Linked DNA regions of Pelodiscus sinensis. The protein of the gene in region 2 purifies or fractionates together with the protein of the main gene of each other region. This does not show direct contact. Links are inferred from orthologs where the notes say so. Each region holds a gene or a part of one and is shown on either strand. Other genes may lie near its edges.

What was found.
Region 1: the proteins of PRKACB (region 2) and AKAP1 purify together in Homo sapiens (affinity purification with mass spectrometry; 4 studies listed by BioGRID and IntAct, counting the BioPlex papers as one, with this or other methods). This does not show direct contact. The link is inferred for Pelodiscus sinensis from reciprocal best matches to the Homo sapiens genes PRKACB and AKAP1.

What each region holds. Positions count from the first base shown.
Region 1 is NC_134731.1:10,350,039-10,357,240, forward strand, and holds the start of AKAP1 (A-kinase anchor protein 1, mitochondrial), read right to left. Parts: upstream 3,013-7,202; 5' UTR 2,855-3,012; intron 1-2,854.
Region 2 is NC_134719.1:29,277,940-29,285,865, forward strand, and holds the start of PRKACB (cAMP-dependent protein kinase catalytic subunit beta), read left to right. Parts: upstream 1-4,918; 5' UTR 4,919-5,014; coding exon 5,015-5,201; intron 5,202-7,926. UniProt on the Homo sapiens protein: Mediates cAMP-dependent signaling triggered by receptor binding to GPCRs.

The DNA of each region.
Region 1 (7,202 bases), on a different chromosome or scaffold from region 2:
CCCCATTATGCTAGGTGCTGTACAAACAGAAGAGATAGGCTAGACTACACTAGCAATTCCACAACTAATACTTACGTCAACCCTCACTTTCGGTTTTAAATTGTTGCAACACAGCTCCCAACGAACCTGAAATCACATCAACCACAGACTGTCAGTCTGCCCAACAGCGTATTTCTGAGAGCCAACAGCTAGTATTTCCCCAACAAAACATCGAGAGCTAAGACTTCAGTGGAGTTAAGACAGTTAGATAGTGGCTAACACACACAGATATTGAAAAATTACAGATTCACTTTCTATTACAGAAATAGATCTACACACTGGTAGGAAACTCTGAATCAGCATATACAACAACTGACACCAACTGATTCTCATCTACCTACCCATTAATTTTACAGCTGAGCGGCTAATGTAATTTAGACCAGTCTTCCAGCTGCCTTTTAACGAGTTGTAAGAGCTCTGCAATGGTTTAAAAGAGTCTTCACTTAATTTGCTCACCTATGGATCAGTTCAAGCAGACAAGAGGGTAAATCCTGACTGTGGAATCCAATGGGAATTTTATCACCAACTTCAACGGGGTCAGGATTTCATTGCTGGTTTCTTTTTGGCCTTAATCGGTTTAAAGAACGTTGGGCTTTGAGGGGTTTTTATTGAGGGAGGGACTTTCCGTGGAAAGCAACTCTGCCTGCTCTGGGCTACTGCATGTCTCAAACACTGCAACTCTTAGGAGGGAAGACTGGCTTCTTTTTCTCCAAGGGGCAAGTCCAAAAGCCGCGGTTCAAGAGCCATCAAAGCCACGCTGAACAAGACCTGACTGAGATTGCACACTGATTAGCTCGTCTCATGTAAGCGCCATCAAGCCAGACAGCGTGGGTTAGTTTGCCATGTCACATCGGCAACAGCAGCAGGTACATGCCTGCCCCGTCACTCACTTTCACTAAATAAGGCTGCACCCAGAGGCCCAGAAGCACTTCTTTTCTAGTTGAAACAAGTACAGGGAGGTGATCTGAGCTCAAAGGAGCATGAGCCAAGTGTACAGACTTGGCAGCACGAAGATGGGTGAAGTTCCCATTTCACCCACCAGCTCCGGAGCAGAAAGCGGTGACCTATGCTAGTTGTTAGAACAAGAAGCAAACTCCCCAGCCCTCCTCGAGCTAGGCCTGATGTGGTGCTCAGGTTGCTTCCTGCAGCACACTACCTGTTCAGTCTGGGTATACATGACCTTTAAAAGAATAAATCCATAGGAGTGTGAGTGACCTTGAGAAAAAGCAGCTCAGGTCATTTCTCTGCAAATGCCAACAGGACAGAAAGCATCTTGACACCTTCTAACTGCCAGAGATAAAGGACAGCTCATCTCATACTCTTTTCAAGTGGCACAGCCAGCCCTGTTGCAGGTTTGCAATCCCACTAATAGGTGCCTCCGTATCAAGGGTCAGGGAGTCACTACACACACAACCTTGTGACTGTTCAAAGCTGACACCACCATCACCCTCTTAGGGTAAAGAAAAGACTCTTAATAATACACCCTTGGCACAACAATGCCAGACTTGCTGCCTAAGCGGGACACATACTGTGCCATTAACTCACAGCACCAGTATACTGTGCACGCTATCCCATTCACAGTAGCAAAGCCACTACCTGCTACAGATAGTTAGGAAAGGGGATACAAATGGGGCAAAAGAACCATTCAATGGCCTCTCAATGACCTCCCAAGGTTCCTTCCAGTCCTGTAATTCCATGACAAGCACCACGCTGGCCATACTGGGCTGATCGCACCTCTGCCAAGAAGCGAGTGGGGAAAAAGTTCCCCAAACCAACAAGGGACACATGAGCAACAAGCCAGTGCCTGGAGCTCCAGGGGGCTGCACTCCTAGGAGTGGGGAGGTACACAGCAGAATCAGACAGGGAGAGGGGAGTTAAGAAAGGGCAGCTGGATAGGAGCCAGCCCCAGGGCAGAAGGGAAGGGAAAGTCTGACAGCACATGAGGCAGCAAAGACAAAGGGGCTATCTTGTCGCACCACCCAGGGCAGCAGGGAAAAGGTGACTCCAGGCAGGGGTGGGCAGTCTGTTTGGCAGCACACGTGGCTGGGGTGACCCCGGCGAGCAAGGGGGGGGGCGCGGGGGTGACATCACGTGGGCAGTCAAGCAGCACACGGGGCAGGGGTGACCCCAGGCGGGTAAGGGGGAGGGCTGGGGTGACACCACGTGGGCAGTCTGGCAGCCCAGGGGGCAGGGGTGACCCCGGGCGGGCAAGGGGGGGCTGGCAGTCTGGCAGCCCAGGGGGCAGGGGTGACCCCGGGCGGGCAAGGGGGGGGCTGGCAGTCTGGCAGCCCAGGGGGCAGGGGTGACCCCGGGCGGGCAAGGGGGGGGCTGGCAGTCTGGCAGCACAGGGGGCAGGGATGACCCCGGGCGGGCGAGGGGGGGCTGGCAGTCTGGCAGCCCAGGGGGCAGGGGTGACCCCGGGCGGGCGAGGGGGGGCTGGCAGTCTGGCAGCCCAGGGGGCAGGGGTGACCCCGGGCGGGCGAGGGGGGGCTGGCAGTCTGGCAGCACAGGGGGCAGGGGTGACCCCGGGCGGGCGAGGGGGGGCTGGCAGTCTGGCAGCCCAGGGGGCAGGGGTGACCCCGGGCGGGCGAGGGGGGGCTGGCAGTCTGGCAGCACAGGGGGCAGGGGTGACCCCGGGCGGGCGGGGGTAGCAGCCGGGCAGCACACGGCGCAGGGGGGAGGGGGCTGCCCCTCGAGAGCTGACAGCTGCCCTACCACGCTGGCGCCTGCTCCCCGGCGCTCAGCCCACACAAGGCGGCGGCTCCACGCCCGGCTGCCGCCCCCCCGGGGAACGCGGCCCGGCCCCGGTACTCACGATCCGTCCGGTGCTCGCCGCCCCCGGTGCAGAGCCCTCGTGCGCGCCGTGCCCTGCCCCCACCCCGGCCGCTCCCCGCCAGCCGCGCTGCCCCCACGTGCTGCCCGACCGGGCCCGTCCGAACACTGAGACATTCAACCGCTACACTAAGGCCCGCACGCCCCGCCCCCCGGCGCGAGGCAGCCACATCTCGCGAGACCTGCCGGCGAGTGCCATTCAGCCGGCCCCGACTTACTTGGCGGCGGTGGGGGAGGGGGAGCGGGAAGCAGCTGCGCATGCGCCTGTGGGACACGCCTTTCCCCCAAGGGTACAGCACAGGGGAGAGCACGTGGAGTCTGTGCTCCTGCACCCGGCCCCCACCCTCTGCCCCTCCTCACCTTCCGCCCCGCCCCCACCCCTGACCTGCCCCTCTGAACCCCCCATCCCTTGCCCCGATCTCCCACCAATGTGCCCTCTGAGTTGTTTCCAATCCATGCGTGGAATAAATTTTGTTCTGTGCACCAGGGCACGCGTGGATGTGCACTACAAGTAGTAACAACATGCTGCTGGCTGCGGGTCGTTGTGGGTGCTCTGCTCACCAGCTGGGTGGCACCCGCTTCACTTTTCACTTGTGTGTGGCCCCCGACTGATTTTTCTGTGGGTCAGCCCCCGCCCCCTCGACCCAAAAAAGATTCCCCACCCCTGGTGCATATGATAGAAACCAAGCTGAAGAGGGGGGTGCCAGTTGCATCGTGAGTTCTGAAATTTATGCCCCACTCTGGCACCAGATCTTGGCAATATACACCTCCCTTCTTCTCCCCCCATCACTCACCCAGACCCCTGGGCTGAGCTCCTGAGCCTCTCAAGTACTATGTGCCCTGGGGAGACCCGTGACCATCCCACAGCTGGTGCTGCCAGGGCAGACCAGGGCTATGTTCTATTTTGAGTGCAGTAGCTGGAGGACAGCAGCAGTCCGTCTCCTTGAGCTGGGAATTAGCCCCAGCCGGATGGCTGGGTGGACACTCTAAGTGTTCCCTCTCATTTTTCACACCCACATGAGGAATGAATTTTGTTATGTGCACCAATATGGTGTGACACATCGTCTCCATATTGGTGCACTTAAAAATATTCCTGTGGCGGGGGGGGGGGGGGGGGGGCATTTAATAGGCATTCAGCATGTTGGTTGAGGGGAATGTGATGGCTCTGGCCGGGGTGGTGGGGGGGGGAGGGTTATGGATTCAAGGTGGAGCCAGGGACGAAGGGCTGGGGCAGAGGACTGGAGTGCAGGGGGGAGGGTTCTGGCTCAGGGTGCAGGCTGAGTGGTGCTAGGGAGAAGAGGTTTGGGGTGCAGGCTGCCCTGAGGCTACAGTGGGGAGTAAAGACACACACACTCTCTAACTCTCCTTGTAGCAGGACTGGGGCTGACGGGGAGGAGGGGACCCCTCCCCTGGCTACAACAGGTTTGGGCTGGGTCATGGTCAGGGTGCCTGTCCCCTGGCTACAGTAGGGGTGGAGTCGGTGGAGGGGCACCTGTTGCCCTACACACACACCTGCCATGGCAGGGCTGGGGAAGGGGTATAGCAGCAGGTCCGAGGCGAATGTCCGTGTGTCATTTAATAGGCAGCTGCACAGCTTAGAACAGGGGGCTCGGACTCACGGCCCAGGGGCCCGAGCAGTACCACGGCCTGGCCCTCACACGGCTGCTGGCACGTGAGTCCCTGCAGCCCTGAGGAGAATGTCCAAGCCTTTCCCTCAAGTCCAGTCTCTGCTTCACCCCCCACGAGGCCTCTTCCCACCCTTGCTCCTTCTCCCCCAACCTCCTCCCCTAAGGAACGGGGCCTCGGGGATCACAGGAGGCCTGGCGTGGGGTAGCAGCAGGGATTGGGCCCCCCGCACTCACCATGGCAACAGGAGCTGCGGGGAAGTGGAGCGACGCAGCAGCCTCGGCTCTGCTCCGCTGCCATCCCCCAGGCCAGCGGCGGCAGGAAGCAGAGCGCCTCACCCGAGAATGGGGAACCATCCCATTCATAGGTTGGGGTGGCCACGGCCGGGCTCCCCAAAGTGACCATGCCCAACCATCCTATGGATGGTTCTGCACACACCTCCCCCGGGACACAGGGATGTGGGGCAGAGCTCGTGACTGGAACCTGCTCTTGCCCTACTGGGGGTGGTGCTGGGAGTCCCTGGTGGGATGTTAAAATCACTTGGGGGCAGCAAGTGGGGTTGGGGGACACACCGGGGGGGGGGGAGAGGGGAGTGCCTGGGCTGGCAGGCAGGGCTAGGAGATGTGTGTGTGGGGGTGAACACGAGGAGACACTCCCCCCCACTCAGAGCCCTGTCAGAGAAGTGCACACTAGGAGAATTTGAGGCCTGGCACTGGCCCTAAGGTAAATTGAGATTGAGACCCCTGACTTGGAGGGAACTTGGACGCTAGTGTGCGCTCTGAGGCTACGTCTACACTACGAGTTTTCTTGGCAAAAAATATGCTATCAGTATACCTCCTTTTGGGGGGCATAAGGATCTTGTGGGGGTTTTGCACAAAAAATGTCCACACTGCTTGTTTTTGTGCAAAAACCTCAGCGCAAAAACGGATTGGCAGAAAATATGCAAATGAGATAATGACTCATGCAAATGAGTCCCTCATTAGCATATTTTTTGCCAAGAAAACTCATCGTGTAGACGTAGCCTTTCACTGCACAGTTGGCGAGGTTATTACAATAATCCACTTTGCCCTAGTGCACATGACACCCTGACTAGCAGGAATATTCAGAGGGTATCAAAATAAAGGAGCTCCCATCCTTTCCCCCCCCACCCATCTCCAGTTTGGAAAGAACACTTCACTTCATGTCCTCTTCTGGGCTGGTGGATTCGCTGATTCAGTCTCCTTTAACAACTGGACATATGCTCCTCTGTTTAAATCTTTCTGTCCGAGGTACCTCACAGTGTCCGGGCATCCTCCTCAAAGCCTCCTTCTTCAGTCATCACTGGTATCTGAGTCACTTCCTTGGAAGAGCTAAAAATGGCTCACTGTCTCCTTGTGTTTCCCTTCATGTTAATTAATTTGTTTATCTGTGTTCAAATACTCGGTGCTACACAGGCGGCACAGTTCAATCACCTAAAGAAATCAAACCGTTAAATGTGCCGTTCAAACAAGCAGCCAGTGACAACTCAACGCCATTATGGAATCTTAGACGATTAGGGTTGGAAGAGACCTCAGGAGACCTTAGTCCAACCAAGGCCGTTCCTACCACTATGCAAAATATGCACCAAATTGCACCAAATTTCATGGTGCCCTAGGCAGGTATGGGCTCCAGCAGCCAGGGCCCCCACCATAGGCTGTGCCCAGTAGGGCCATCTCTATAAGGAGTGTGGAGCCTGGGACACCCCCCGACCTCACTTCACCTCATTCCAGCTCCAACCACACTCTACCCCTTCCCTAAGTGCCCCCTGCTCTGCCCCAACCTGCCTCTTCCCACCGCTGCTGCATCTCCTCCCACCCCTTCACCCAAATAACGAGGCTGGGGCTGGGTTGCTCCACTCTGTTGCTGCAGGTGAGTGCTGCCTGGAACAGGTATGACTCTTGCTGCCAACCTGCCTTGCTCCTGCCCCCACAGCTCTGGGTCTACTTCCCACAGCTCCTGGCCCTGCATTGCTCCTCAGGGACGGTGGCTGCATAGGGCATCAGAGCTAGGGCCAACTCCCTGCTTAACCAATCCCAACTAAATCACCCCAGACAGGACTTTGTCAAGCCTTAAAAACCTCTAGGGATGGAGATTCCACCACCTCTCTAGGTAACCCATCCCAGTGCTTCCCCACCCTCCTAGGGAAATAGTTTTTCCCAATATCCAACCTAGACCTCCCTCACTGTAACTTGAGACCATTGCTCAAGTTCTGTCATCTATCACCATTGAGAGCAACCTGGCTCCATCCTCTTTGGAACCTCCTGGACAGGTAGTGGAAGGCTGGTACCAAATCCTCCCTTTACACTTACTTTCTGCAGACTAAGTACACATTTTTCAATAAGCATTGTAAAAGTGAAACTAAGAGACACATTAGCAAGCAACTACAGCCACTGAACATGGCAGGCTATGGCTGAATCAGTATGGGGATGGAAAACTTAAAGGAGAATCCATCTTTAGCAAAGTTATTGCTTGCCAGTTTGGTAGGCCCTCTGTTTTAATGGGAAATTTTATACATTTCCTTTTTTGACCCATTGGATTGTGTTACATTGCACTGTTAACCAGTTGCCCATTTCACCATAGAGAAGGTTACCTTTGAATAGTAAGTAAGCGGCGGTTGTAAAATACTTTCAGTAGGAGAAATATGTATCAATTATTACAATAAGCCAGTTTAGCACTGTAGGTAATTC
Region 2 (7,926 bases):
GGTGAGGGGTGGGGAGGGAGATAAAGTACAGGGCTGGCGGAGATGAGGGAGGAAGAAGGGACCCTGGCTGGTGGAGATAGGGAGGGGAAAGGGCCAGACTGATGCCTTGCATCTGGCCAGAGGGGGTCACCGGGGAACTGCATGGCAAGCGGCAAATCTCCGCCGCTTTGTAAGGAGGCAGACGAAGCCCTGGGAAACCCAGCCTCAAGCGGAGGGCGGAGGAGAGGGAGCGAGGCATCCAGCCAGAGGAGGTCACCGAGGAATGGCGCAGAGAACCTCTGGAGGCAGGGTAAGCCCTGCACAGCTGCCAGTGACCAGCCAGCTGGGGAAATTCAGCTGCCCGCTGCAAGCGGGGGGGGGCAGAGGAGAGGGAACAAAGCATCCGGCCAGAACGGGTCGGTGGGGAACAGCACAGCGAGTGAAGAACCTGTGCCGCTTTGCAGAGAAAGCCTTTCTCAGCTGCCGGCCACCGGCTGGCCCTAGGGAAAATCATGTTATTGCGGGGACGGGTCATGTTGTTTGAAAAATGTTCCCAAAAAAAATCATGCTATCACGAAAACGTGTTAAGCGGGCACATGTTAAGCGAGGAGTTACTGTATCAGTAAAAAAACGAGTGGTCCTGTAGCAGCTTAGAGACTAACATTATATATATATATATATATATATATATATATATATATATATATATATATATATATATAGTATCACTAGGGGGCTGTACTGCCTGCTTATTATACTTGCCAACCTCACTCTGTTGCAGCCACATCGTGGCCTCCTCTCCTGCCCATGCCTCAGCAGGAGGGGGACTACCACCAACCCTTCCTGCAGCCAGATGGTGGCTGGACCGCAGGCCCTACCCCAGTATTGGGGCCAGGGACAGGATGCGGTGGCCAGAAGGGGGTTAGGCCCCAATTGGGCAGGGAGTCTGGCTTGGCAGAGGGGGCAGGAGTAGGTTGGGGGCAGGGTGACGGCTGGGGATAGGAGGCAGGAGCAGGCAGGGAGTGTGAGGCTTGGCAGGGGAGGGAACGTGTGAGGCACTGGGGAGACAGGGCCAAGGCTGCAGGGGCTCTTACTTGTTTTCATGTGGCATGCTGCTTCCAGGCACCAGAGGCTTTACCTGCAGCTGTCTGAGTAGCGGGAAAAGCCTCCAACAAGTTCATAGGTGCACCAGCCGGGGAGGGGAAAGGGAAGCAGCAGTGCGCATGCTTCCCCGCAAGCCAGATCCAGCACAGAGTTGTGGGGCTTTCTCTCCCCTTTGACCCCCCACAGGAAGCCAGTGGAGTCTGGAGCGCCAGGCAGGCGGTAGCCCAAGCACACATCCTGAGGCAGGCAGCAGAAGTTCCCTGGGAGTTGGGGTAGGAGGTGCTGGGCCACGGAAGCCAGAGCTCAGAAGCGAGAGGCAAAGGGGGGAGCTGGAGCTGCCGCTTCTCCCTAACCCACCTGCAGGGGAACCAGGAGGCCAGCAAGGAGCCCAGGGGGTCCCCAAGGAGAGGCCAGGGCAGAACTCTGAGCCATGGCCATCTCTTCCCCTTCAGAGACTGCCAAGGCTGGGGGTGGGGGACAATGCAGAGTGATGTGATGATGTCACTATTGTCCCACAGGAAAATTTTTGCAAGAGAGAGAGACAGACACGAGGTTTTGTTTGCAAAACCCACTTGCTCAGATGAGCAGAGCAGAGTGGAGAGAAAAGGGGACCCTCACAGTTTGACAGAAAAAGAAGGGTGAGGGGAAAGGACCTATCAGTTGTAGTGCTGGTGCTAAAGAGGCTAATTGAGTGGACTGGAAGTGTCCCATACTAGGGATGCTAGTGAGTAGTTTACTACTTGACTAGTCTCTGGGGTGCCACCTACCCCCTTCCTCCGTTGTCCCTATCAGAGGTAGCAGGGTGAGGATAGGGGAGGCTACTCTGGCAGAAGCCCCTGTTCGCAGGGGTCTCATTGGGGAACTGGGGCCTGCCCGCAGACAGGGGCTGCTGCTGCCAAGCAACCCCTGTTTACAGTGGCTGGAGCAGACTCAGTTTGTGGTGGCTAGGGCTGGTCAGTCCCAGCTCCAGGAGCTACCCTTGCTATGGCTCTACAGAGTGCCCCTTATCGACTAATCTTATAGTTGATACAAATTTTATCAACTACATGATTAGCCAGATAACTGCAATTTAACATCCTTCTCCCATACTTAACTTTTTATGTCACTTGAGTGTTGAATGTTAGGAAAGCAGATTTTATAATGGCCCATCCAGTTAATGTCTTTGTTCAAGCCATGAGAAACAGCGTCAAACTTGCATATGAAGGCCAGTTCTGCACTCTCTCTGTGGTGTTGGTTTTTGAAATTTCTTTGTAGAATATTTTAAATCCATTAATGAGTGTCCAGGTAGATTAAAATGTTCTCCTGCGGGTTTGCGTGTATTGCCATTTCTGATATCTGACTTGTCTATTTATCCTTTGTTGTGTGTGTATATATATTAGGGTATGTCTACACTACCCCGCTAGTTCGAACTAGCGGGGGTAATGTAGTCATCCGCACTTGCAAATGAAGCCCGGGATTTGAATTTCCCGGGCTTCATTTGCATGAAGCCGGCCGGCGCCATTTTTAAATGCCGGCTAGTTCGGACCCCGTGCCGCGCGGCTACACGTGGCACGGACTAGCTAGTTCGGATTAGGCTTCTAATCCGAACTAGCTGTATGCCTCGTGGAACGAGGTGTACAGCTAGTTTGGATTAGGAAGCCTAATCCGAACTAGCTAGTCTGTGCCGCGTGTAGCCGCGCGGCACGGGGTCCGAACTAGCCGGCATTTAAAAATGGCGCCGGCCGGCTTCATGCAAATGAAGCCCGGGACATTCAAATCCCGGGCTTCATTTGCAAGTGCGGATGACTACATTACCCCCGCTAGTTCGAACTAGCGGGGTAGTGTAGACATACCCTTATGTATTTGGCCAATATACAATGCAGTGCCCCTCTCCCATGTACAATTGGTGGTAGAGAGGGAAAAAGTTGACCTTGACAAAGCATAGAAGAACAGAAGGTGGTTTCACCACAAGTGAGAGGGTGTAATCAGGTGGGAGGAGGAAGTATTTATACCCTGGGAAGTTCTGGAGAAGTCTTCTCTCACTGCATTAGATCTTAGTTGCCCGTGCCCTCCCACAAATGGATTTTTTCCTAATCTGCTATGAGTAACCTTTTTCTTAAGGGCTGGGAAGGGATTTTTCTCTCAGTGCCCAATTGGCCAAAATGGATTGTTCTTTTGTGTTTTACTTTACCCACAGCAGGTCAGGGCCTGGTAGCCTAGGCTAATTTGGGTCAAAATATTGCAACGTAATAATTAACAAATGTGGCAGATGTCCAGTGCAAGTATGTGTTATGGACGGGTACAGCGGAGAATGAATTCCCCCGCACCGTGTTCCTTTTCCATCTCCCTTAATTCTCATGGTGGGGAGATGGGTGAAGTCCCAGCAACAGGTTGATAGGGATCAGGTGCAGAGATAGAGGATTGATAGCACCTAAGGATGTAAACAGGTAACTGGTTAATTGGGCAGCTTCACACCCGGCCAGCCTCCTGGGGGGCATTCCAGCCCATCAAGGTCAGAGCAGACTCATGCTGTGGAGCCCCAGGGCTGGCCAGGATGGAGCACACCCAGGAAACAGTGTAATAGGTCCTGCTGAGCCCAACTGGAGCAGCCCCCACTGGGCTGCACCAGGCCTGCCATGCTGCAGGGACCAGGCGCCCCCTGCAGGGACCTGGCTGTATTGAGTTGCCCTGATTTACAGGTTTGGGACCCATCACAAAGGTATGAATAAAGACATTACCTGCCTAGCACACTACCTTCCACATCCTAATGACTTAAAAAAACAAACGGGTACTTAGAGCAGGTGCAAATTGTTTTTCTCAGCTTCTTGTAACATGGATACTTTTATTGACTTTTTCCCTCCTTTTCCCCTCCTTCTCCTTGCCCCCAGTCTCCTGTTTATCTTGGAACTGGACCTTAAACTCCATTCATCTGAAGAAGTGGGTTGTACCCTTGAAAGTTCATGATATCATCTACATGTTTTGTTAGTTTTTAAGGTGCTGCTATACTATTCATTGTCTTTTAAGTTTTTCCAGTTACAGACTAACTCAGCTACTCTTCTGAAGTGGTTAAACATCGTTTAACTGGTTAACATTTTAAATGGGATTTTGTGTCCCTAATAGCAGGCCTCCTAAATAGGTGGAAATGATTAAGAGGAGAACTATGATGATCACTGTACAACTTACTGCTAGATATTCCCAGATATATTAAATGTATACAATTGCAAGCTAATTACATCTTCTCCATTGCCTTCTGTTTTTCTTCTGGGATGGTTGGAAAATGGATATATTTCTTTATTAAGGACTGGATGTTACCTTACTCAGTAAGTGGCCCCACTGACTTGTTGATAGACATTTGGAGGAAGCTAAAACTCAGCATGAGTAAGGTTGGCAGAATCTGGCTTCTTGTTACACAAGAACTATTCTTTAGCTTACTCCATTATGGCTTTCTAAATGTAAAAGGACAAAAGTGGTAACTTTGTTAATTTTTATTTACCATAAAACATCATTTGTTTTAACAAGTTAACCTTCTTGCTTAGAAAATTGTACTGTTGTAAAAAAAATGTAGGGATACTTTTTAGTTGATGGATGTTTATGGGAGCTATTTTTAAATTTTATCTGTATTCTGATTTTTTCCTTCACTTTATATCACATGCAGTTGTGTATTTTCATTGTCATGTGTTTTTTTATATGAAAAAAGTTGTTAAACTCAGAGTTTAAGACAACTATTACAGCTCTTTTAACCGCCACCTTTAGCAGATACAACAGAGTTTTGCTAAGAAAAGCACCATAACGTGCTGTTTTGTATTAACAGGAAGCAGAACAGCAGTAGTGGTTAGAAACACTGCATTCAGGAAGTTTGACACATGCATAAGTTCCTAGCTTCTGTTTAAGTTGTTTGAGCTCCTTTATAGATTGTCTAATGTTTTTTAAAGTAAATTATCAATGAATATAGATGGCAGCGCAGCGGGAACTATCTTGTAACCAGTGCACAGGGACATCCACTGCTTTGCAGAGACTTGAAGGGTTTGCTAACCGACTTTTTCATAGGCACTCTAAGGGTAGTTTACAAGAACAGAAAGTGGCTCTGGAAAATGAGAGCCATCATTTCTCTGAACTTGCTGCCCTATGGGACAGATCAAGTAAGTGTACTGTAGATATTTAATATTCAGTTTTTATGGTAATTAAAAGATTTTATGTAGTAAATAGACAAAACTACTGTAAATTCTATCAGCCTTTTTATAGTGTAACAGTAAATGTAGCTTTAAAGCAAGAGCTATTGCAACATGCAGGTGGAAATTTGATACTCTTTCACAGGGACTTGGTGTCTGGTAACAGAGTTTCATATGTGAGCTTCCTTTTTCTTAGACAAGTGTTGTTAACTTAATTTCTGTGTTTTTTGTAAGCTTTTCTTCCCAGTATTCCAGATCTAAATTAGATAGTTTTAGCAACAGTAGATAATTTACTTGTTTAAAATTGTGGGTTTTCTTTGTCTTTAATTTTGGAAGGGTGGATATTATGTTATGCTGACTGGGGGGTTAATTACATGACATCTTTTAAAAAATTATAGTGTCATTTAATTTTTATTAGATATTTCATAATCCATTTTGTGGTAATTTGAACACTAAAACTAGAGCATAAATTCATTGTTTACTATTTCAGATTAATGCAGTGTATTAATTTTGATTTATACCACTAGTTATCTATCACTTTAATTTTATAATCTTAATTCGTGAGTGCAATTTTATTTATATTGTAGAAAATATGTATGATCAGAAATAGGGCTCAACCAGGTGCATGCCCCCCCTTACTTTCTAAAACACACAAAATATTCAGAGTTCATAATTCAAGCCAAAAAATAACAAAGTTAATGAGATCAAACTGGTTATCACTGCTGTGTACATACTCTACTGTAAAACAAATAAGTTATTTAGGAATTTGTGTCCAGCCTGGGGTTGGAGAGGGTGAGGCACCACAGAGGCCCCTTGCCAGCGCACTCTGGGCCCGGGAATGGGAAGGGGGCTGTGCAGTCCAGCTCCTGTGGTGTTCCCCAGTCCAAGGTTGGGGAGGAGGGGCTGTGCGGGCTGGCTGGGCGTGACCATGTAGGGCAGCCATGCAGTACTGGGGAATGGGGGAGGGGTTTGGCTGTGGCCCGTGTGGGGGAGGGGAGAGCGGGGGGGGGGAAGGATGTGCTGCGCATCCCTGGTGGCGCTTGTGGGGGGGAGAGTTATGATAGTGGGACCAGCAGAGCTTCTCCCTCTCCCCGGTGTAGTGTTGGGGGCTGGGGGGAGCAGTGGGGAAGAGGTGCCACCTTCATTGTCCAGCAAGAAGGCAAGCCCTGTCTCCAGCTGGCAACCTCCTTCCTGGTGCGGCTTCCCCAAGTGGTCACTCTGCAGTATAGCTGTTCCCTGTGCTCACTGCCCCCAGTGCTCATTCTGCAGTATTGTGTCTCTCTGAACAGCCCCCTCCTTTTCTATATAATGGAAAACAGTCAAATTCCAGGCACATCCTGTTCTCTTGCACAACCAAACCATGAATTTGCTTTAAGTTAGGATAAGAGAAAAAAGCTGCATACCAAATTTGGTGGTCTTAGCTGTTAATGTTTAGGAGGAGTTCTTAAACAAATGGACTCACAGAACAAGACACACAAATCTCTACTATATGTAATATATATAGGGGGGAGGGAGGGAATGAATGTATTGTCTTATTATTTGCTAGCACATTTACCCAGTGTTACTTGGGTCATAACATAAGAATGGCCGTACTGGGTCAGACCAAAGGTCCATCTAGCCCAGTATCCTGTCTGCCGACAGTGGCCAGCACCAGGTGCCCTAAAGAGGGTGGACTGAAGACAATGATCAAGCAATTTGTCTCCTGCCATCCCTCTCCAGCCTCTGACAAACAGAGGCCAAGGACACCATTTTATCCCCTGGCTAATAGCCTTTTATGGACCTAACCTCCATGAAATTATCTACCTTCTCTTTAAACTCTATTATAGTCCTAGCCTTCACAGCCTCCTCTGGCAAGGAGTTCCACAGGTTGACTACAGGCTGCGTGAAGAAGAACTTTCTTTTATTAGTTTTAAACCTGCTACCCATTAATTTCATTTAGTGTCCTCTAGTTCTTCTATTTAGGGAACCAATAAATAACTTTTCTTTATCGGCCCTCTCCACACCACTCATGATTTTAAGTAGGGTCATTAAGTAGGGGTTCAGGGAAGGGGGCTGGAGTAGTGGGATGGGGAGGTTGTAGGAGTCAGGACTGGAGGTATGAAGGGGCTCAGGGCTTGAAATTGGGGGTTGTAGGAGTCAGGGTTGGGTCAGAGGAGGGGCTTAGGGTGGGAAGTGGAGGGTGCAGAAGTCATGGCAGGGAATTGAGAGGTATGGGGGGGGCATATGTTGGGGAGGGAGAGGGGAATTGAAGGAGGTTCCCGGCTGCTTGGTGGGACAGAGGGAGCCATGCTGGCTCATCAACACATGAAAAACTTCCTAACAGTCAGCGTGATTAAAACTGGGATAAATGCATAGGGAGGTTGTGGAATTGCCATCACTGAAGATATTTAAAAGCAAGTTGAGCTAAACCAGGGGTGGGCAATAATTTTTTACTGGGGGCCATTTCAGAAATTTTTGAAGGGGCCCCTGGCTGCACCGGAAGGAGCAGGGCCTCAACTGGAAGGGGCGGTGTCACAAATCATTGTGACAGCAGGGCCACGATACTTCCCCGCTTTCCTACCCACAGATTGGTCTGAGGGCAGGGGAGCAGGTGAAGTCTTTGCTTCCCCCCCCCCTCCGCCCCCAGAGATTATCCCTAGGCACCAATGCCCCTGGCAGTGGGAGAAGACTTCGTGCACTCCCCCGCCCCCAGGTC